Linked DNA regions of Rhinolophus ferrumequinum. Each later gene encodes a partner of the first gene's protein in a complex. Links are inferred from orthologs where the notes say so. Each region holds a gene or a part of one and is shown in the gene's direction. Other genes may lie near its edges.

What was found.
Region 2: the proteins of NTRK2 (region 1) and NTF4 are in contact, whole or in part, in a crystal structure (PDB 1HCF), measured with the Homo sapiens proteins. The link is inferred for Rhinolophus ferrumequinum from reciprocal best matches to the Homo sapiens genes NTRK2 and NTF4. Residues at the interface, in NP_001018074.1 of Homo sapiens: Phe291, Glu293, Thr296, Ser297, Asp298, His299, Cys302, Pro304, Thr306, His335, Val336, His343, Gly344, Cys345, Asn350, Thr352, His353, Met379, Gly380, Trp381, Pro382, Gly383; in NP_001382418.1 of Homo sapiens: Gly81, Val82, Ser83, Glu84, Thr85, Ala86, Ser89, Arg90, Arg91, Gly92, Glu93, Leu94, Ala95, Asp98, Ala99, Ser101, Gly102, Trp103, Thr105, Tyr135, Phe137.

What each region holds. Positions count from the first base shown.
Region 1 is NC_046295.1:47,787,461-47,796,107, forward strand, and holds the start of NTRK2 (BDNF/NT-3 growth factors receptor), read left to right. Parts: upstream 1-4,958; 5' UTR 4,959-5,249; intron 5,250-5,793; exon of another isoform or gene 5,794-5,897; intron 5,898-6,007; exon of another isoform or gene 6,008-6,160; 5' UTR 6,161-6,448; intron 6,449-6,846; 5' UTR 6,847-7,209; coding exon 7,210-7,421; intron 7,422-8,647. UniProt on the Homo sapiens protein: Receptor tyrosine kinase involved in the development and the maturation of the central and the peripheral nervous systems through regulation of neuron survival, proliferation, migration, differentiation, and synapse formation and plasticity.
Region 2 is NC_046298.1:44,372,163-44,380,916, reverse strand, and holds NTF4 (neurotrophin-4), read left to right. Parts: upstream 1-5,230; 5' UTR 5,231-5,523; intron 5,524-6,466; 5' UTR 6,467-6,590; intron 6,591-7,186; 5' UTR 7,187-7,198; coding exon 7,199-7,831; 3' UTR 7,832-8,251; downstream 8,252-8,754. Other genes in the region: KCNA7 (potassium voltage-gated channel subfamily A member 7), read left to right, coding at 598-1,413. UniProt on the Homo sapiens protein: Target-derived survival factor for peripheral sensory sympathetic neurons. May promote ameloblast differentiation and subsequent reduction in proliferation of ameloblasts.

The sequences.
Region 1 (8,647 bases):
CATGGAAACAACCAAAATGCCCATCGGTAGATGATTGGATTAAAAAACTGTGGTACATTTATACAATGGAGTATTACGCAGCCATAAAGAAGAAAGAAATCTTATCATTTGCAACAACATGGATGGACCTAGAGAACATTATGTTAAGTGAAATAAGTCAGACAGAGAAAGATAAGTACCATATGATCTCACTTATTTGCGGAATCTAAAGAAAAGAATAAGTGAATGAACTAACCAGAAACAGTGTTGGAGACAAAGAGGAAAAACTGAGGATTGCTAGATGGGCGGGGGGGGGGTGGGTGGTGGGTGAAGGGATTGAAGGGCAGTCGGTGACCACAGGATGGCCACGGGGTTTGAAAATTAATCTGGGGAACGTAATTTAGCGGTTACCAGAGGGTAAAGGGGTTGGGGGTGGGAGATGAGGGTAAGGGGGATCAAATATACGGTGATGGAAGGAGAACTGACTCTGGGTGGTGAACACACAATGTAATTTATAGATGATGTGATATAGAATTGCACACCTGAAATCTATGTAATTTTAATAACAATTGTCACCCCAATAAATTTAAATAAAAAAAAAGGAAAAAAAAAAAAAAAAGAAAGTGCTCTACTTTTCCAAAGTGGTTGTACCATTTTTCATTCCCACCAGCAGTGTATGAGACTTCCCATTACCCTATAGTCTTATCAACACTTGAGTCTTTTTAATATTAACCAATCCAATTGGTGTGTAGGTATCCCATTGTAGTTTTAATTTGTATTTCTCCAGAGACTAATGATGTTGAGCATCTTCTCATGTGCTTATTTGCCACCTGTGTACTTTCTTCGGTAGAGTATATGTTCACATTATTTGCACACTTAAAAAAATATTTTTTTATTATTATTGCGTTTTGAGAGTCCTTTATAAATTTTGGACAAACCCTTTATCAAATATATGATTTGCATATATGTCTCCGATTTTGTGGCTCTTCTTTTCATTCTCTTAACAGTATCTTTTGAAGAACAGGAATTAGTAATTTTTATAAGATCCAATTTATCCATCCTTTTCCTTTTCAATTTGTGCTTTAAGTATTTCGTATATTTATACTATTGTAATTAGTATTATTTTTTTACAAATTTAATTCCTGTTTTTTTTGCTAGTATATAGATACAATTAATTTATAAACACTTCACTTGTATCCTGAAAACTGGATGATTCACTTATTAGTATGAATAGCTTTTTTGTAGATTCTATGGGGTTTTCTATATAGGAGATCAAGTTGTCTGTTTATGAAGATAATTTTATTCTTCTTTTCCAGTTTGGATGCCTTTTACTTCTACTTCTTGACTTATTGCACTGACTAGAATCTCCAGAGAAATGCTACATAGAAATGGTGAAAATGAATAAATATCTTTCTGATATTTGGGAAAAAGCATTCCATCTTCTACTTTAAGCACTATGTTAGCTGTAGGTTTTTTGTTGATTCCATTTATCAGTTGAGGATATTTCTTTTTATTTCTAGTTTGCTGAGTTGGATTTGGTCAAATTGAGGTGATCATATAATTTTAGATTATATATATATCTTTTGAGATGATTGTATAATTTTAGATTTTTAGTTTGTAAATATGGTAAATTACATTTTTGAATATTAGACCAAAAAAATTTGTTTTTGGAATAAACCTCACTTGGTCACGATGTTGTTGGATGTTTGATGTTTTGCTGGGTTCAATTTGTGGAAATTTTGTTTAGAATTTTAACATTATGAGGGATATTGGTTTGCTGTTTTCTTTTTTTGTAATGTCTTTGTTTGATTTTGGTATCAAGCCAAATGCTAGCCCCATAGAATGAGTTGGAACATGTTCTTTCATCTTCATTTTTCTGGGATGATTATGATACTATTAATTTTCTGGTATTATTTTTCCTTCATTGTTTTGTAAAACTCACCAGAAAGTCATTTGGGCCTGAAGTTTTCTTCATGGGAAGGTTTTTAACTATAAATTCAATTTCTGAAATAGACACAGGACTATTCAGGTTATCTGTTTCTTCTATAGTGAGCTTTGTAAGCTTGTATCTCTTAAGGAATATGTCCATTTCATTTAAGTTATAAAACTTACTTGCATAAAGTTGTTCACAGTATTTTCTTATTATTGCTTTACTATCCATAGATTAAGTGATATCATTGATCTTATTCTTGTTATTGATAATTTATGTCTTTTCTCTTTCATTCCTGGTCAGTTTGGCCTGCGGTTTATTAATTTTATTCATCTTCTCAAAGAATCAGCTTTTGGCTTCAGTGATTTTCTCTCCTGTTTTTCTGTTTTCTATTGCATTGTTTCCAACTCTGATCTTTATTATTTCTTCTCTTCTGTTTACTTTGTATTTAATTTTCTTTTCATTTTTCTGGCTTCTTCAGGTGGAAACTGAGTTCACTGGTTAGAGACCTTTCTTCCTTTCTAATTAGGAATTTAGTGCTATAATTTAAGATGCTTTAGGGGCATCTCACAAATTATTTTAAAAAAATTTGTTTAATATCTTCCCCCCCCCAGTTTTATTGAAGTATAATTGACATGTAAATATAAATTTTTATATGTAATGTTTTCCATTTCCCTTTTGAATTTTTCTTTGACCTTGTTCCTTTAATCCTTTTGGCACTTCTTTCTCTGGCCCCAGGCAGTTTCATCACCTGCATGTGCTAATCTGTACTCTGCTGAATACTTGAGAGGGACCTTCTGCAGACCTCTGGAGTTCTCTCTCTGTACCTTACTCTTTTCCCTGCTCCTCTGTCCTTGTGAACTCTGCCCTCCTTGATTTTCCTGAACACTCAGCTATGTCTCCTCAAATCAGGGAGTTGGGCTCTGCCTGAGTTCCCTCTCCCTGAGCCACAGCCTTCATTGTCTTATGTCTACAGTCTTGAGAATTGTTATTTCAAGTATTTTGTTCAGTGTGTTGATGATTTGGTTGGGAGGTTAAATCTGTCCCCTATTACTACATCTTAGTAAGAAGCAGAAGCTGGCAGTATTTTTTTTTTCCACTACCCAGTTTTGGATAGTAAAATTAACTTATTGGGTTATAACAACCATTGAAAAATAAAATGGTATAAAATAGAAAATAAAAATGAGTGTATTCCATATATTAAGTGTAAATGAGTTTTGTTTTGTGAAGCTCTTTTTGAGTACATGCACACATATATGTGTTTATTGGATTGTGATATAAAACACATTTCATACTGTGGATTAAGATGAAAATAGTTTAAAAAATACTGTCCAAGGTGCATCATGGTCCAGTATGGGCAGGAGTCTGCAACACTCAGTCTCCATCTCTGCCTTGAAGAGTTCATATGATCTGGGGAAAACTACCCCTACTTCACTTTGTCCATCTGCAAAATGTTCATCATCTCCTATAAAACCATAGTTTGAGAATCCCTGAAATCTCTGTGAAATCTCTTGTAGTTCTTAAAATTGAGATTGACCCATATTTTTTATCAATTAAGAAATAGTTATTGATTGACCAGTGTGTTTCAGGCACTGTACATAATGTTATCAGCATGAATGTCAGGGAGGCCCTCTCTGTCCCAGAGCTAGATAGAACATACCTGGCTAGTAGGAAAGGCAGAAAGTAAGGCTTCAGGAATCTTCCCTGTGCCAGAACTCCTAGCACAGGGAGGACTCCGAGGTTGTGGAGATGGGAGGGAGAGTGTCCAGAGGGAATTATTCAGATGGACTTGTAGGACTGAAGGTTAAGAAAGCGAGAGTGTAGATGGACTGTTGGAGGAATCTCAATTTTTATTTATTCATTAAACACATACACACAGATATTTTAACACTTACTGTGTCCTTGGGATATATTAATGAACAAACTAAAGATCCATGCCTGCATGGAGTTTATGTTCTACTGGGAGAAATACGATATATAGTACACATAATAAATAAGTAAATGATTTGTTAAAAAATGGTAAGGACTATGAAACAGTAGGGGAAGGATGATTAGAAGTGGGGCTTCCAGTTTTAATTTTAAATGGGAGATATTTAGTAGGGGTATATTTAGAATCTAAATATAATAGTATATATGAATAAATACAAATTCTAAAAATATTACAGCATAATTAGAATCTTCTGGTCTGCAAACCACTCTGTGTCCTTTGGGTGCTGCACTGACACGTTGCAGCCACTAGGGCACAAATGGGCCATTTCTGAGAAAGAAAAAAAAGGGGGTGAGGGTGGGGTGTGAGAGAGATGTGTGTAATTATGCACACCCTTCCCTCGGGTATTCTGTAGGGGCAGTTCCATTAAGGACACTGGCAAGACAGGCGGAAGAGCGTTACTTTATGACCTGGACCAGACATTTTTGCCCTTTGCTTCCCTTCCTTGGCACGTCTTCACCCAGCAGGGGTTGGCAGCCTGGCAGAGAAATGAACTTCAGCCTGGCCATTCAACACCCAATGAGTGTCACAGCCAAGTGATCGTGGAGAGAGGCAGACCTGCTGGCTTTGTCTTCCGGCCCTGCAAGGAGATTTTTGGGCGCTACACGAGGATTCCTGCGATTACACTCAGCGTCGGGATTTTGCACAAAAGCTCCAGTAGATGCTTTCTCTTCCCTTGTAATATTTAAAACGTTACAGAGGTCTAAGTATTTACCTAGACTTTCAGGGTCTCGATCCTTCCCACCCCTGCCTCTTCACACAGATGGGCGACCATTCTTATCTTCTGGACGAGATCCCATTCATTTGCCCTTTCTGACGCCGAGTGCTGCCTGCGTTTTTCTCCGGCCGGAGCTCTATGAGGCCTGGCGGGCCACAAGCTGGCTGGGCAGGGGCGCGCACGCGTCGGGCGCCGCTGGTTGCGCATCTGGCGCCAGAGCGCGCCCCCTGCGCTGTGCCCGCCGCAGCCGCGGCCCTGGGTTGGTGCTCTCCAATGTGCCGGGCGCTCTCTCCCCGCGCGGGGGCACTAGAACCCTCCGAAGTGTCAGGCACTGCGGTGCATTTTCCCAGTTCCTTTTTAAATGACTGCGGAAAAAGAGACTCTCCGAGCCGCAAATGGGAAGACGGATTCTCAGACAAGGCTTGCGAATGCTCCGCAGCCATCATTTAACTGCGCCCGCAGAACAGTTACGGTTTGTCACCCGACCCTCCCGGATCGCCTCGTTTGTCCCTAACGAGACCCTGAGGCCCTGCTAGTGCTGGGCTTCTCGGTAGCTGGATTCATGTCGTGCTCTGGGCAGCGTGGGCGCGGGGCAAGCGTTCGCGCATACCCGCGCACACACGAAAACGCGCAAGGTACGGCAGGGGAGCAAGGGCTCTGGGTGACACGCATGGGGGTGGGCATCGCGGGGAGTGAAGCTACAATCTGGGAATGGCTGCATCCTGCCAGGTTGACAGATGAGAGAAAATGACGCGGCGCCACACATCGGACAGGCCAGCTTTGCGGCCGCGCATTTAGGGAACCCAATACGCGTCAGGCGCGCTCCTTTCCCCTCACAAGTCTCTATTTCCCTGGCGTGTGATGCCAGAAAACAGCAAGAAAAAGACCTACTTAGAGAGCTAGAGTTGCATTTGGAGACTACCCTTCCTCTGCAAAAACACCAACAGAAAGACCCTCGAAAACCACGGATCCCCAAATAGGTGGCCCAGAATGGGGGCGGTTATCCTTGGTTACCGATGCTGAACACGTTTTGGTGTTTACAATATTTATTTATTTTTAGGATAGCTCACCCTCCCTTTTAGGCAGGATGGGAAAGGAAAACGCAGCAGGGATAGAGAAGGGAGGGAGGATTCCTATAATAAGAATCAGCGCATTTTTCAGAGCTGAACCGAGCCCGGTTTCCATTTCAAAAAAGGAGACAGACTCTACTGCGATTGTGGAAGAGATTACGGTGTGAATTAGGGACTGGTAGGCGTTGAGCGGCCAAACAGTCCATCTCAGAGGTACCTGGATCTAAACACACACACACACACACACACACACACACACACACACACACGAGGCACGCGCGTCTACATGGCCAGGATGTGTGCGTGTATGCGCGTGTGTGAACTCCCACATGCTGCTGCTGTCTGCTTCTGACCAGTGGCACCGATGCCTGCCTCCTCCCTGCTCGCCCCCAGATTCCCCTCCCCTCCCCGTTGCTTTTGTCTGGAGGGTGTTATGGGTTTGTGTGTGTATGAGCGTGTGTGTTTTTGGATTTCAGACTAATTTTCTGGAGTTTCTGCCCCTGCTCTGCGTCAGCCCTCACGTCACTTCGCCAGCAGTAGCAGAGGCGGCGGCGGCGGCGGCTCCCGGAATTGGGTTGGAGCAGGAGCCTCGCTCGCTCCTTCTCTCCTGCTCTCCGCGCTCAGTGCCCAGAGACAGGAGGAGCCTGGACCCAGGCGCCGTCGGCTGGCGGTAGGCGCCGGAGCCCGGGTGAGCAGCGCGGACAGTGCCCTCCGTCGTCTTGGCCCTCACTGTCACCCCTGGGCGGCCTCAGGCGGCTCACCAGGTGGGACCGGCCGCGCCACCTGCCCGCGCCCCCTCTGCCCAGCGGCAATGACAGATTCTGCAGCATCATTCAGAGGCCCCGTCGCGGAGCCATCGCCGCTGGCAGTTCCTTCTTCCCCTTCTAAGGGGTCTTCTCCTGGCCTGTGCCATGGAATCCTGTCTCAGGAACCCTTGCCCTATCTCCCTTACCTCGACCTCAGGCTTGGAAAGAGGGTGGGCACATTGGTGGCCCCACCGGCATCAGTGCCATCGAGGGGCAAGTTTATTTTTGGGGTGGGAGCTGGGCACTCATCCATCCAATCTCCCGGCTGGGGTCCGGGTGGGGGTGATGCGAGCGCGGACCAATTCGTGGTGTTTGGAGTCCTGCGCTCAGTCTTATGCTTGTCTGTTTGTCCTCAGCCCCGAGGTGTGTCCCGAATCCCAGTGAGCCTCTAGCAAGAAGCCTGCGCCCCAGAGAGTCCCGGGAGCGCCGCGGGCCGGTGCCCAGCGCGCTGGGCCATGCAGTGGCGGCCGCGGCGGAGCTCCAAGCGGCGGGAGCGCCCCCTGTGAGACGGCCCAAGATGCCCCAGCGGCTGTGAACGGTGCTGCCCACCAGGACACAATCAGTCCCCGGACACGCTCGGCTCTGCGCGCCCGCAACCAGCACGGAATAGAGAGAGCTGCGAGCGCGGCAAAGACTGCCCAGCATCGGCTGGAGAGGCCAGCTGGTGCAGCCCAGGGACACGTACTCAGTCTGACTCGGGCTGGCACTGGCGGCTAGGGATGTCGTCCTGGATGAGGTGGCATGGACCCGCCATGGCGCGGCTCTGGGGCTTCTGCTGGTTGGTTGTGGGCTTCTGGAGGGCCGCTCTCGCCTGTCCCACGTCCTGCAAATGCAGCGCTACTCGGATCTGGTGCAGCGACCCTACTCCTGGCATCGTGGCGTTTCCGAGGCTGGTGCCTAACAGTGCAGATCCTGAGAACATCACCGAAATGTGAGTTCCTGATCATCTTTCTCCTTCTTTCTTCCCTGGCCCGTGGGGCTAGGGCCAGCCAGACCGGTCCGTCTTGGCTGTGAACGTTGTCTCAAGTCTGGGCAGAAGTCAGAAATGAGAGTTGCAGGGCTGTGCCATCTGTCAGTTACCTGTCTGTTTCACTGGCTTGGGGCTGATAACGCGGGAAGAAGTTTAAAATAAGTTTTAAGTTTACATGTCAATAATATATATAATTGACATGGAAGGCATTCCATTGTACTTTGTATTTCAAAGCCCTGCTGGTGTACTTTAGGATTTCCATATGCAATAACTTAGTTTTGGATATTTTTGTTTCATAAGGTGCAATGTGTTTGTTGTGTTAGGAGAAGTTCCAGTAATATTTACTAGAAAGGAGGTTAAGATAATTAACTTTTTGAAATCTGCTGAAGGAGATTAGAGACCCCGTTAACATTTTTTCTCTGAGGTTTGGCATTCACCAATTTCCCTTTTCATTTTATATATCAGATTTTGCTTAGGAGATTGCATCCAGAGATGGCCTTGAAAATGATCTGTAAGAGGAGAAGTTCTGAGTGTTGAAATGCACTCACTCAAAAGGGAAAATGTGATCGTTGGAAGCCTAAAAGCCTGGTCTGATTTAATTTGGACTTGACTTCCCAGAGATATAATTTTTAGACCATTTGGATTATGAATCTTAATTGCCCATTGAATATTTTCCCAGGACTAGGTTGGATGATCAAGCAGTGTGTAGTACTCAGATAAACGCTGCCTTTAGCATGGGATCCCATACACCCCCGGGAATGTTTGAGCTTGTCCTGATCTGATGGAGAAGCAGAATTGTGCATCTCTATCCTCCTCTTAGGATGCCTTGTGACAAATATATTTCCAAGGAGAAATTTACCAGTCCTTTCTCCAGCATTCCTGTCACCTCTTTTACAGGTGTTTGTTTCCTCCCCGCTAGGGACTTTGCCATTTCATACATTTTATTAACATGAGATTTTATTCATCCATGTAGAGGGTTGTAAGGCAAAGTTTCTCTTCGGGTTTCCTTACAGTGTTGGGTACTGAGACAGGCAGCCCTGAAAGTAGGGTTTGGGCTGTGGCCTTCCGGTTGGCAAGTGCGCATGCATTCCCCAACCCCCAACAGAAAACGCACACCCTATTTCTGCCAACGTAGTTGACCAAGATAACCTGTTTTTTCATGTAAGTAAGAGACCTTCTTGGTCTCT
Region 2 (8,754 bases), on another chromosome or scaffold:
AAAGGTGGTGGGTGGAGGAGAGCCTGAAAAATCAGGTCTGTGCACCTGACAGTAACCAATGGGAAGGATGGAGTGGAAGTGGTGAGAATCGGTCCTGAAGAAAGTAGCTGAGAGAGTTGGAGACAGAGGGATGGGTCCCATAGGGCTAGGGTAGGAAGAATACATCACAGAGAAAGTTGGGCTGAGGCAGTGAGGGGAGAGCCCCCAGGTTTGAAAGACAGAAAAGTCTTTAACCATTATAGTCTGGGCTGGGTTTGGGAGGGCACTGCACAAGGGTGTGGGGCCAGGGTGGGGATCCTCCCTACCTAGAAAAATCAATGCTTGGAGGCAGGCTTTGGGAGGGAAGAGGTTGAGTCCCACTCAAGCATCATTTTATGAGGCCCCTCCAGTAAAAGATGAGGGACCATAAAGTCAGACATTCAGGGACAAGCCCTGGGGTCCTTGGAAAGAGTCTATGACAACTGAGTCACTGGCCTCCTGGGGCAGCGGCTATTGAGCAATTTGTAGATAAGTAGTTGGATATTTAAACAACATATGTGGCTGTTCCAGTGTGTCCCAGCCTGGTGTGGTCCTCCCTGAACCCCTTCCTTCCTGCAGTTCCTTACTCGGCTGAACAGCTCCAACCCTGTGCCTGGACCTCCACCTCGCACCCCCTTCGATGACCCATTCTTTGTGGTAGAGACATTGTGCATCTGTTGGTTCTCCTTCGAGCTGCTGGTGCGCCTGTTGGCCTGTCCAAGCAAGGCGGCCTTCTTCAAGAATGTGATGAACCTCATTGATTTTGTGGCCATCCTGCCCTACTTTGTGGCGCTGGGCACCGAGCTGGCCCGGCAGCGGGGGGTGGGCCAGCCAGCCATGTCACTGGCCATCCTTCGCGTCATCCGACTGGTGCGCGTCTTCCGCATCTTCAAGCTGTCCCGGCACTCAAAGGGCCTGCAGATCTTGGGCCAGACGCTACGGGCCTCCATGCGTGAGCTGGGCCTCCTCATCTTTTTCCTCTTCATTGGTGTGGTCCTCTTCTCCAGCGCAGTCTACTTTGCCGAGGTCGACCGGGCAGACTCCCATTTCACCAGTATCCCTGAGTCCTTCTGGTGGGCAGTGGTCACCATGACCACAGTCGGCTATGGCGACATGGCGCCCGTCACTGTGGGTGGCAAGATAGTGGGCTCACTGTGCGCCATCGCTGGTGTGCTGACCATTTCCCTGCCTGTGCCCGTCATTGTCTCCAACTTCAGCTACTTTTACCACCGGGAGACAGAGGGAGAGGAGCCTGGGATGTATAGCCATGTGGACACGCAGCCCTGTGGCCCACTCGAGGGCAAGGTCAATGGCGGGTTGGTGGATGGAGAGGTGCCTGAGCTACCGCCTCCCCTCTGGGCACCCCCTGGGAAACACATGGTCACCGAAGTGTGAGGGACAGTTGAGGCCTGCAGGACCTCACACTTCCTTGGAGGGAGGCGGGAAGGGAGGGATGAAGGGCAAGGTTGGGGGGAGGGGGTTGGGTTTAGGAAGAACTAGGTTAAGTGGTAATGAGTTGGGGAACACTGAGTCTTATTGGGTCTTGAGTTGTGGGTTGGTGGCTCCTATGGGTACCTCCTTAGGTGGCAGTGAATGGCAGCGGGTTATGCTGAGTTGAGGGGGAGACTGTGCTAGTTTGTATTGCATTGGGTTGTGCAAGTCTCGTGGAGTCTTTTGGGGTAGTGTTGAAAAAAGGTTCGGTCACATAGTTTTGTGAGTTTCTTACTTCCATGCTGGATTGGGTTGTCAGTCTGGGTGAGTTGTGTCCAACTATGTTGTGCAGGATTCTGTGGTTTTATGAGTCCCCCAGGGCCATGTTGGGTCAAGTTAGGTGGCCACCCACGGCATTATTGGGACTAATTGCGTGCTCATGCATGGTGTTGTGGAGTTGAGACATGTTGAAAATTGTGTGACTTCGTGATTCTTCTAGAGCTATGTTATTTTAGGTTCTGTGAACTTGTGAGTCATGTGGAAATACGAAGAGTCAAGTGATAGAATGTGAGCTTTCTAGGTCACATCAGGTTAAGTTGGCTTGGAATGTATGACCCTATGAGTCTCCCAGGATTCTGTTGGGTTGGATTGTGTAGAGTTATGTGGCTGGAAGTTTTTCGGGGCCACTGGAGTTGAGTTGTATTGAGTTGTATAACCATTCAAGTCTCGTAGGGCCATGCTGAGCTGAGTTACATCAAGTTGTGTCATTGTGAGTCCCGTAGGAATGTTGGGTTGAGTTGGGCTGTGTGTATGAGCTCCACAGGGCTATGTTGGTTTGTTTTGCATTTAGTGGTAGCACCAGAACCTGAGGATAACAGCACTGGGGAGGAATCATGTATCAGGGAGAGAGTGTGGTATTATGGACTCTGGGAGAAAAACTGAACTGGCTCGCCCAGTGTCACTCACCATAAGGGTGGGGCTGGGTTCTGTATCCATAGATTCAGTTGTTCATGAAGAGAGCCTCTGGGTCAAGTAGGAAGATGTAGACATTCCTGTTTACCAACCCGCTTCGTTTTGCCATTCAAACCCCCTTACTATCTGTCCTCCCCTACAGTTTTGCTTCCAGGAATGGAGATCAGAGCCACAGGGAAGAGAGCGACGGGATGACACTGTACTCTGTCCAGACATGATGGGGGGGACAGAAACCCAGAGGAGTGAGACAGAGACCAGAGGAGGGATGGAGAATCAGAGAAAGAAAGAGACAGAAACCCAGGGAAGAGGGGACAAAGGCCCAAAGAGAGGAACAGAGACTCAGGGAGGAGGAGACAATGACCCAGAGGGAAGGGGACAGAAATCCAAAAAGAGAGGGGGACAGAGACCAAGAGTGGAGGATAGAGACCCAGAGGGGGTGTCCAGCACCCAGAGAAAGAGGGACAGACACCCAGAGCTATAGGCAGACCAGAGTGCCCCAGAGAAAGCCAAGAGAGAAAAAGTTAGTGCTCTGAGACTGAGAGAGATACACAGAGTCTCTATTCCATGGAATCACAAAGAAATCCCCAAATTGGGGCACGCCACCCCATCCTCCCATCAGACAAACAGGGGAGAAACCAGAGTCTTAGAGCATGAGAATGGCTTCCCAAGTCACGCGGCCTGTCACCAGGGGCCAGGACTTGTGGCAGGCTGCCTGCCACATCAGCCTGCTGGTACGCACAGGACCTCTGAGTCCAAACAGCCTCACAAACAAGGAAACTGAGGCTCAGAGGGGAGGATGTTACCCAGAGTCACACAGCCATACAGTTTCAGAAGTCTTTCAGTACTAAAAGGGCATTTCGAGGACGAGGAAAAGAAGAAGGGGAGGGTTAAATCACTAACACATATAGGGCTTCCTATGTGTCAGGTATCATTCAAAGTCCTTTACTTGTATTAATTTATTAAAACCCATCCAGTGGTTTACAGAGTGTTGTTCTTGTTCTTCTTCTTCTTTTTAGCTCTAACAAACTCCCCCCCCCTACTTTTTTTTTGGTCAAATGAAATTTTACCTAGAGGCACCAGGGTGACACATCAGAAGGGAACTGGTTTGAGGGGAACACACCTCTTCTGGAGCCCCTCTTGGCAACTCAGAATGCAGCTAAGAAATTCAGTTTGAAAACCTGTGATTTAATCCAACCACCTTTAATACAGAGAGAAAGAAGAAAATACAGATTGTGGGAAGAGTTTGATAAAGGTCGGAAATAATTTAGATTGTCACTTCCCTCTGAAATGGAGAGAAAAGCACATCTGGAGACAGAAATGGAGACAGAGTCCCTCACTGTTGCAAACACAAAACAGAGTCTTGTAGGCAGGTACAGAGCCCAGCATAGAGATTGGAAGAGGAGACACACGCAGAAAGGAACCCAAGATCTGCAGAGAGAACAGAGACAGAAGCTAAGAGAAACACCCACCGGGAGGAGGAGGAGGAGAGAGCAGGGCAGTGGCCTGGGAGAGGGTCAGACGCTCAGGGTGAGGACAGAGACCTACAGGCAGGAGAAAGAACCAGAGAGTGGAGCTAAGAAATCCAGAGGAGGGAGGGGAAACGGACTCAAAGAGAGAGGAGCAGAGACCCAGACAGAGGGGGACCGGCATGGGGGGGTGGAAAACGGAGGGGGGAGATAGAGACCCAGAGAGGAGGGGCCAGGGACCAGAGAGAGGGGCACAGACCCAGAGAGAGGGGGATGGAGAGACTCAGAGAAAGGGAGACAGAGACCCAGACAGAGAGGGACAGAGACCCAGAGTATGGGGAGAGGGGGGACAGATACTGTTGCCCAGTTACTTTTCTTTGCGAACTCACCTGTACTACCCCGTCAGAGACTAGGAGTTACACAGAGTCCCTCTGGTAGGGGGCGGGACATGCTGGGTGCTTAGGGGTGGGGGAAAGTGTGGAGAGGTCAGGGCGGTGACTTGAATGGACACTCAATGACTGAGAAGCGCCCCTCCCCCACCCCAATAAACAACTGCAGCCACCTTTTATGTTGCCTTGGCTGGGATGGGGAAGAGGAGAGGGGAACACCCTAATCTGGGGACACCCTTCCTGCCACCTTGCCATGCTATATTTAGATTGAGGGAGGGGTACGGGATGCCTCTTACCCCCACCCCCCAAGACAGGTGTCAGTTTTCCTCCTGAAAATAGCTCCAGGGGAGAGATGAAGTGTTCTGCAGCAGGACTGTCTGGAACTCCAACTCCCATTTCCGTCTGTCTTAGGGTCCCTCTCTCTGGCTTTATGTCCCCTTTTCCTCTCCGTTTCTGTGCCTGTCCCGGTCTGCCTTCATCTGTCACTATTCGCTTTCTTTCTCTAAGGTCATTCTGTTTCCAAGTCATACCTGTCTATCTCCGAATCCTATACTACCTTGAATTTCTCTTATCTGAGCTCAGGACAAGACCCTCTCCCCAGTCCCCACCCAGGAAATTCCAGGAGAGAGGACTATGCGGGAGAGCCGCCACATCCACTGTCTCCCGGGGCGGCGGGCCTTATCACTGCCCAAGCCCAGCTGGTTAATGTCTGGGCTGGAGCTCCTGGGAAAGTGGGGGTGAGAGCAGAGGATGGGAATCTGCCTGGGGATTGACACTTAATTGGCAAAAGAATGCAAAGGAATCTCGGGCCCAGACTCCTGGGTCTGAGGGAGGAGGTGGCTAGGGGTCCCCATTCCTGGGTCTGAGGGAGGAGGGGGCTGAAACGGGGGGAAGAAAGGGCCGGGGGTCCAGACTACTGGTCTGAGGGAAGAGAGGGCTTGAGGGACCCCGGACTCCTGGGTTTGAGAGAGGAGGGGGCTGGCGCCTGGCCTCCTGGGACTGAGACGGGCGGAGGGCTGAACGAGCCAGGCCAGGCTTCCGAGGTCCCGGCCCGCGTGTGGAAGGCGGGATCCCCCGGCCCCTCCTCCGCCGTCGGGCGCCGCCACGCCCCCGCGCCCGACCCGGGCCCTCCTGAGCGTGTGCAGCGAGGAACCGGCGGGCGAGCGGGCGTCCGTGCAGCCAGCGAGCAGGAGGAGGAGCCGCCGCCGCCCCAGGGGCAGTCGGAGGAGCAGAGGAGGACGCCCCAGGTAAGAGCCTCGGCGTCTCCTCCCCTGGGATTCCGGTGTCCCGGTCGCCCTGCCCCCGGGTAGGGAGGGACGTGGGCGGGGCCGGCGGGGGCGGGGCTTGGCGGAGGAAACTGAGGCAGGAGAAAAGTGTGTGAGATGAGAAGCGGGTTACCCCCAGTGAGGTCTCAGGAATGCTGAGCCCCAGCCTGAATCTTCTGGGAGTCCGTATATCTGAGCACCTGGGGAGGCGGGTCCTTGAACTTCAGAACTCTCAGGGAGGAGGGGCTGAGGGCCTGGACGCCTGGGTCTGAGGGAGGAGGGGACTGGAGGCCCTGACTCCTTAGTCTGAGGGAAGAAGGATTTGGGGTCCTGGACTTCTCCATCTGGGAGGGGAGGTCTGGGGGGGGCTGGACTCCAAGGGACAGGCAGCTGGGGACCAGGACTCCTGGTGTGAGGGAGGAGGCAGCTGAGGACCCTACACTCCTGGTCCTGGTTGGGTCAACATGTGCCTCTCTTCACACCCCACTTTCCCATTACCCATCTCCCAGCCAGGGCAGGCAGCCACTCCAGGTATGTGCAGTAGAAGTCTTGGACGGGCCCTGGCCTGTCCTGTGTGGAGAGAACATTCCAGGAAGCAGCCTCGGGGACCCAGGGCTTCTTGAGTGTGGGCCCTCAGGGACCCGGGTGTCCAGGCCAGCCCCGCCCCTGCCCTGTCTGGGAGATGAATGGGCCCAGGAGGATGTAATCTTTTCCAGCCTCTCCCCTCCCCTCTTTTCCCCGCATCTGCTTCCCATCCCAGCCAGGAGCCATCACCTGGGCAGGGAAGGGGCCTCTGGAAGGGGGTGAGGCTTTGACTCTTGGGTACCTTACACTTTAAGAGGAACACTCTGAAGGGGAGTGTCCAGGGAATCAGGCCCCCTCCCCCACTTGCCTATATAACCTGCCTGTTCCCTTCTTCACCTAGGTGGTTGCCCCCTCCGTCTCCTGAGATGTCAGGAAGGAGGGGGCCACCTGTGTCCCCCACAGGGCCCCCCTGGAGCCAGGGGGCCCCCACCCTGGGAGCTCGGAGACGGAGGAGGTGCTGACAGGTCTGGTAACTACCCAGTCCCCTCCACACCACCCTTTCCCAGAACTACAGGCTTCCAGAATATTGTAGAGAAACTGCAGTGTCCACACCCCCACCTGAATCTCCCAGCCCCAGGTCAATTTCACAGACAGGGAAACTGAGGCCCTGCCTGGGAGAGAAAGTGTCTTGCCTTCTTAGTGGCAGTTTTGAGCTGAACTTGGGTCTCTGTAGGATTTCAGATCATGGTCTTTCTCAGAATTTTGGAACCTCAAACCTCCTCCAGGCTATAGGACTTAGGGTTCCTTGGGGTTGTCAAGGCAGTATGGCAGAGTGGAGTTGCTCAGACAGGGTTTGAGTCCCATCTCTGGCATTTGCAGGCTGTGTGACCTGGGACAAGTCACTAACCTCTCTGAGCCTGTATTTCTCCAATTGTTGGCTATTATTAGTAATAGAGGTAGAATAATTATGATTAATCTAAAATTTGGATATTATTCAATCCTAGCATATAGGGTCCCCCAAGGTTCTAGAACAAATGCCCCCCTGTGGTTCTGGCATGCAGGTCCTCTCCTAAATTGTTACCCTCTTTTCTAACTCCAGCTTCCCTGTCTTCATCCTCAGGTGCTCAGCGAAATGCTCCGGCACCCCTCATGCTCCCTCCCCATCCTCCTCCTTTGCCTTCTCCCCAGTGTCCCAGTGGAACCCCACCCCCCACCCTCACCACTGCCCCCATTTCCAGCCCCTGAGTGGGACCTCCTGTCTCCTCGAGTTGTCCTGTCCAGGGGTACCCCTGCGGGCCCTCCTCTACTCTTTCTGCTGGAGGCCGGGGCCTTTGGGGAGCCAGCAGGCAGCCCAGCTAACCGAAGTAGGCGAGGGGTGAGTGAGACAGCACCAGCAAGTCGCCGGGGAGAGCTGGCGGTGTGCGATGCAGTCAGCAGCTGGGTGACAGACCGCCGGACAGCTGTGGACCTGCGTGGGCGTGAGGTGGAGGTGCTAGGCGAGGTGCCTGCAGCTGGCGGCAGTCCCCTTCGCCAGTACTTCTTTGAGACTCGGTGCAAGACTGACAGCACTGGGGAAGGTGGCCCCGATGGAGGTGGAGGCGGCTGCCGGGGTGTGGACCGGAGGCACTGGGTGTCTGAGTGTAAGGCCAAGCAATCCTATGTGCGGGCATTGACCACTGATGCCCAGGGCCGTGTGGGCTGGCGATGGATTAGAATTGACACTGCCTGCGTCTGCACACTCCTCAGCCGGACTGGCCGGGCCTGATGCCCATGCCCGGGAATTGGGCAACCAGAGGAAGAAGAGAGCTGGATGCTGAGGGACATCAGGGGTGGCCTGGCTGCTCTGGGTATCAGTTTGGTAACTTGTCAAATGGTCACAAAATCACAGCTCTCTGATCTTGACAGCTCAATCTGTGCAAGACAGGTGGTGAAACCAAATGGGGTTTTGAAGGATGAATAGGAGTTTTCGGATAAACTCGAGGGTGATGATGATGACAGCCAATGTTTTGAATGCCTCCTGTTTATCAGCTCTCATACACAGCTTGTCAGATCAACTGGGGTGGATTTGGCCATTGGAGGCCCTTGGCTTCTGAGTTACTGACCATATGATCTCAGAGGACATCACTTTGCCCATCCTGGAGAGAACAACGAGGGGATATGTCAAGAAGTGGGTGGAGGAGCTTAAAAACTGGAACATGTGAGCAACTAAATGGGAGCTAGGGTTTGAATGGGAAATTTACTTGGTCAGATGGGGCAAGAATTTATTTTGAGGTAGTGAACTACCCATCACAGTAGGAGCACAAGCAGGTTGAATGATAGGAGATCAGGATGCTAGAGAATTTGGCCCTGGTAGGGAGTTGGAGTCAGGTTTCCACCACCTTCCCTGTCCCAACCTTTACCCCACATTGGGAAAGAAAGAAACCTTAAATTTGTCCAGCTTGAGTAGGGCATGAGGTTCTGACCAATTAGCCTGACCCCAGGCTAGGATCGGGGGTCATTTGGACACTGACAGGCCTTGAATGGGCCAGGAAAATCCATCAAAAGGGGCACCAGAGCCTTAATGAGGGTGTCAGTGGTACCCTGGGCCAGGCCGCAGAAGGCAGCCAGTTTTCCCTGTCTGAAGAATGAGTTGGGATGAAATAATGGGGTCTGAGGAGGCAGAGGTCTTGACCAAAAGGTCTTTAAAAT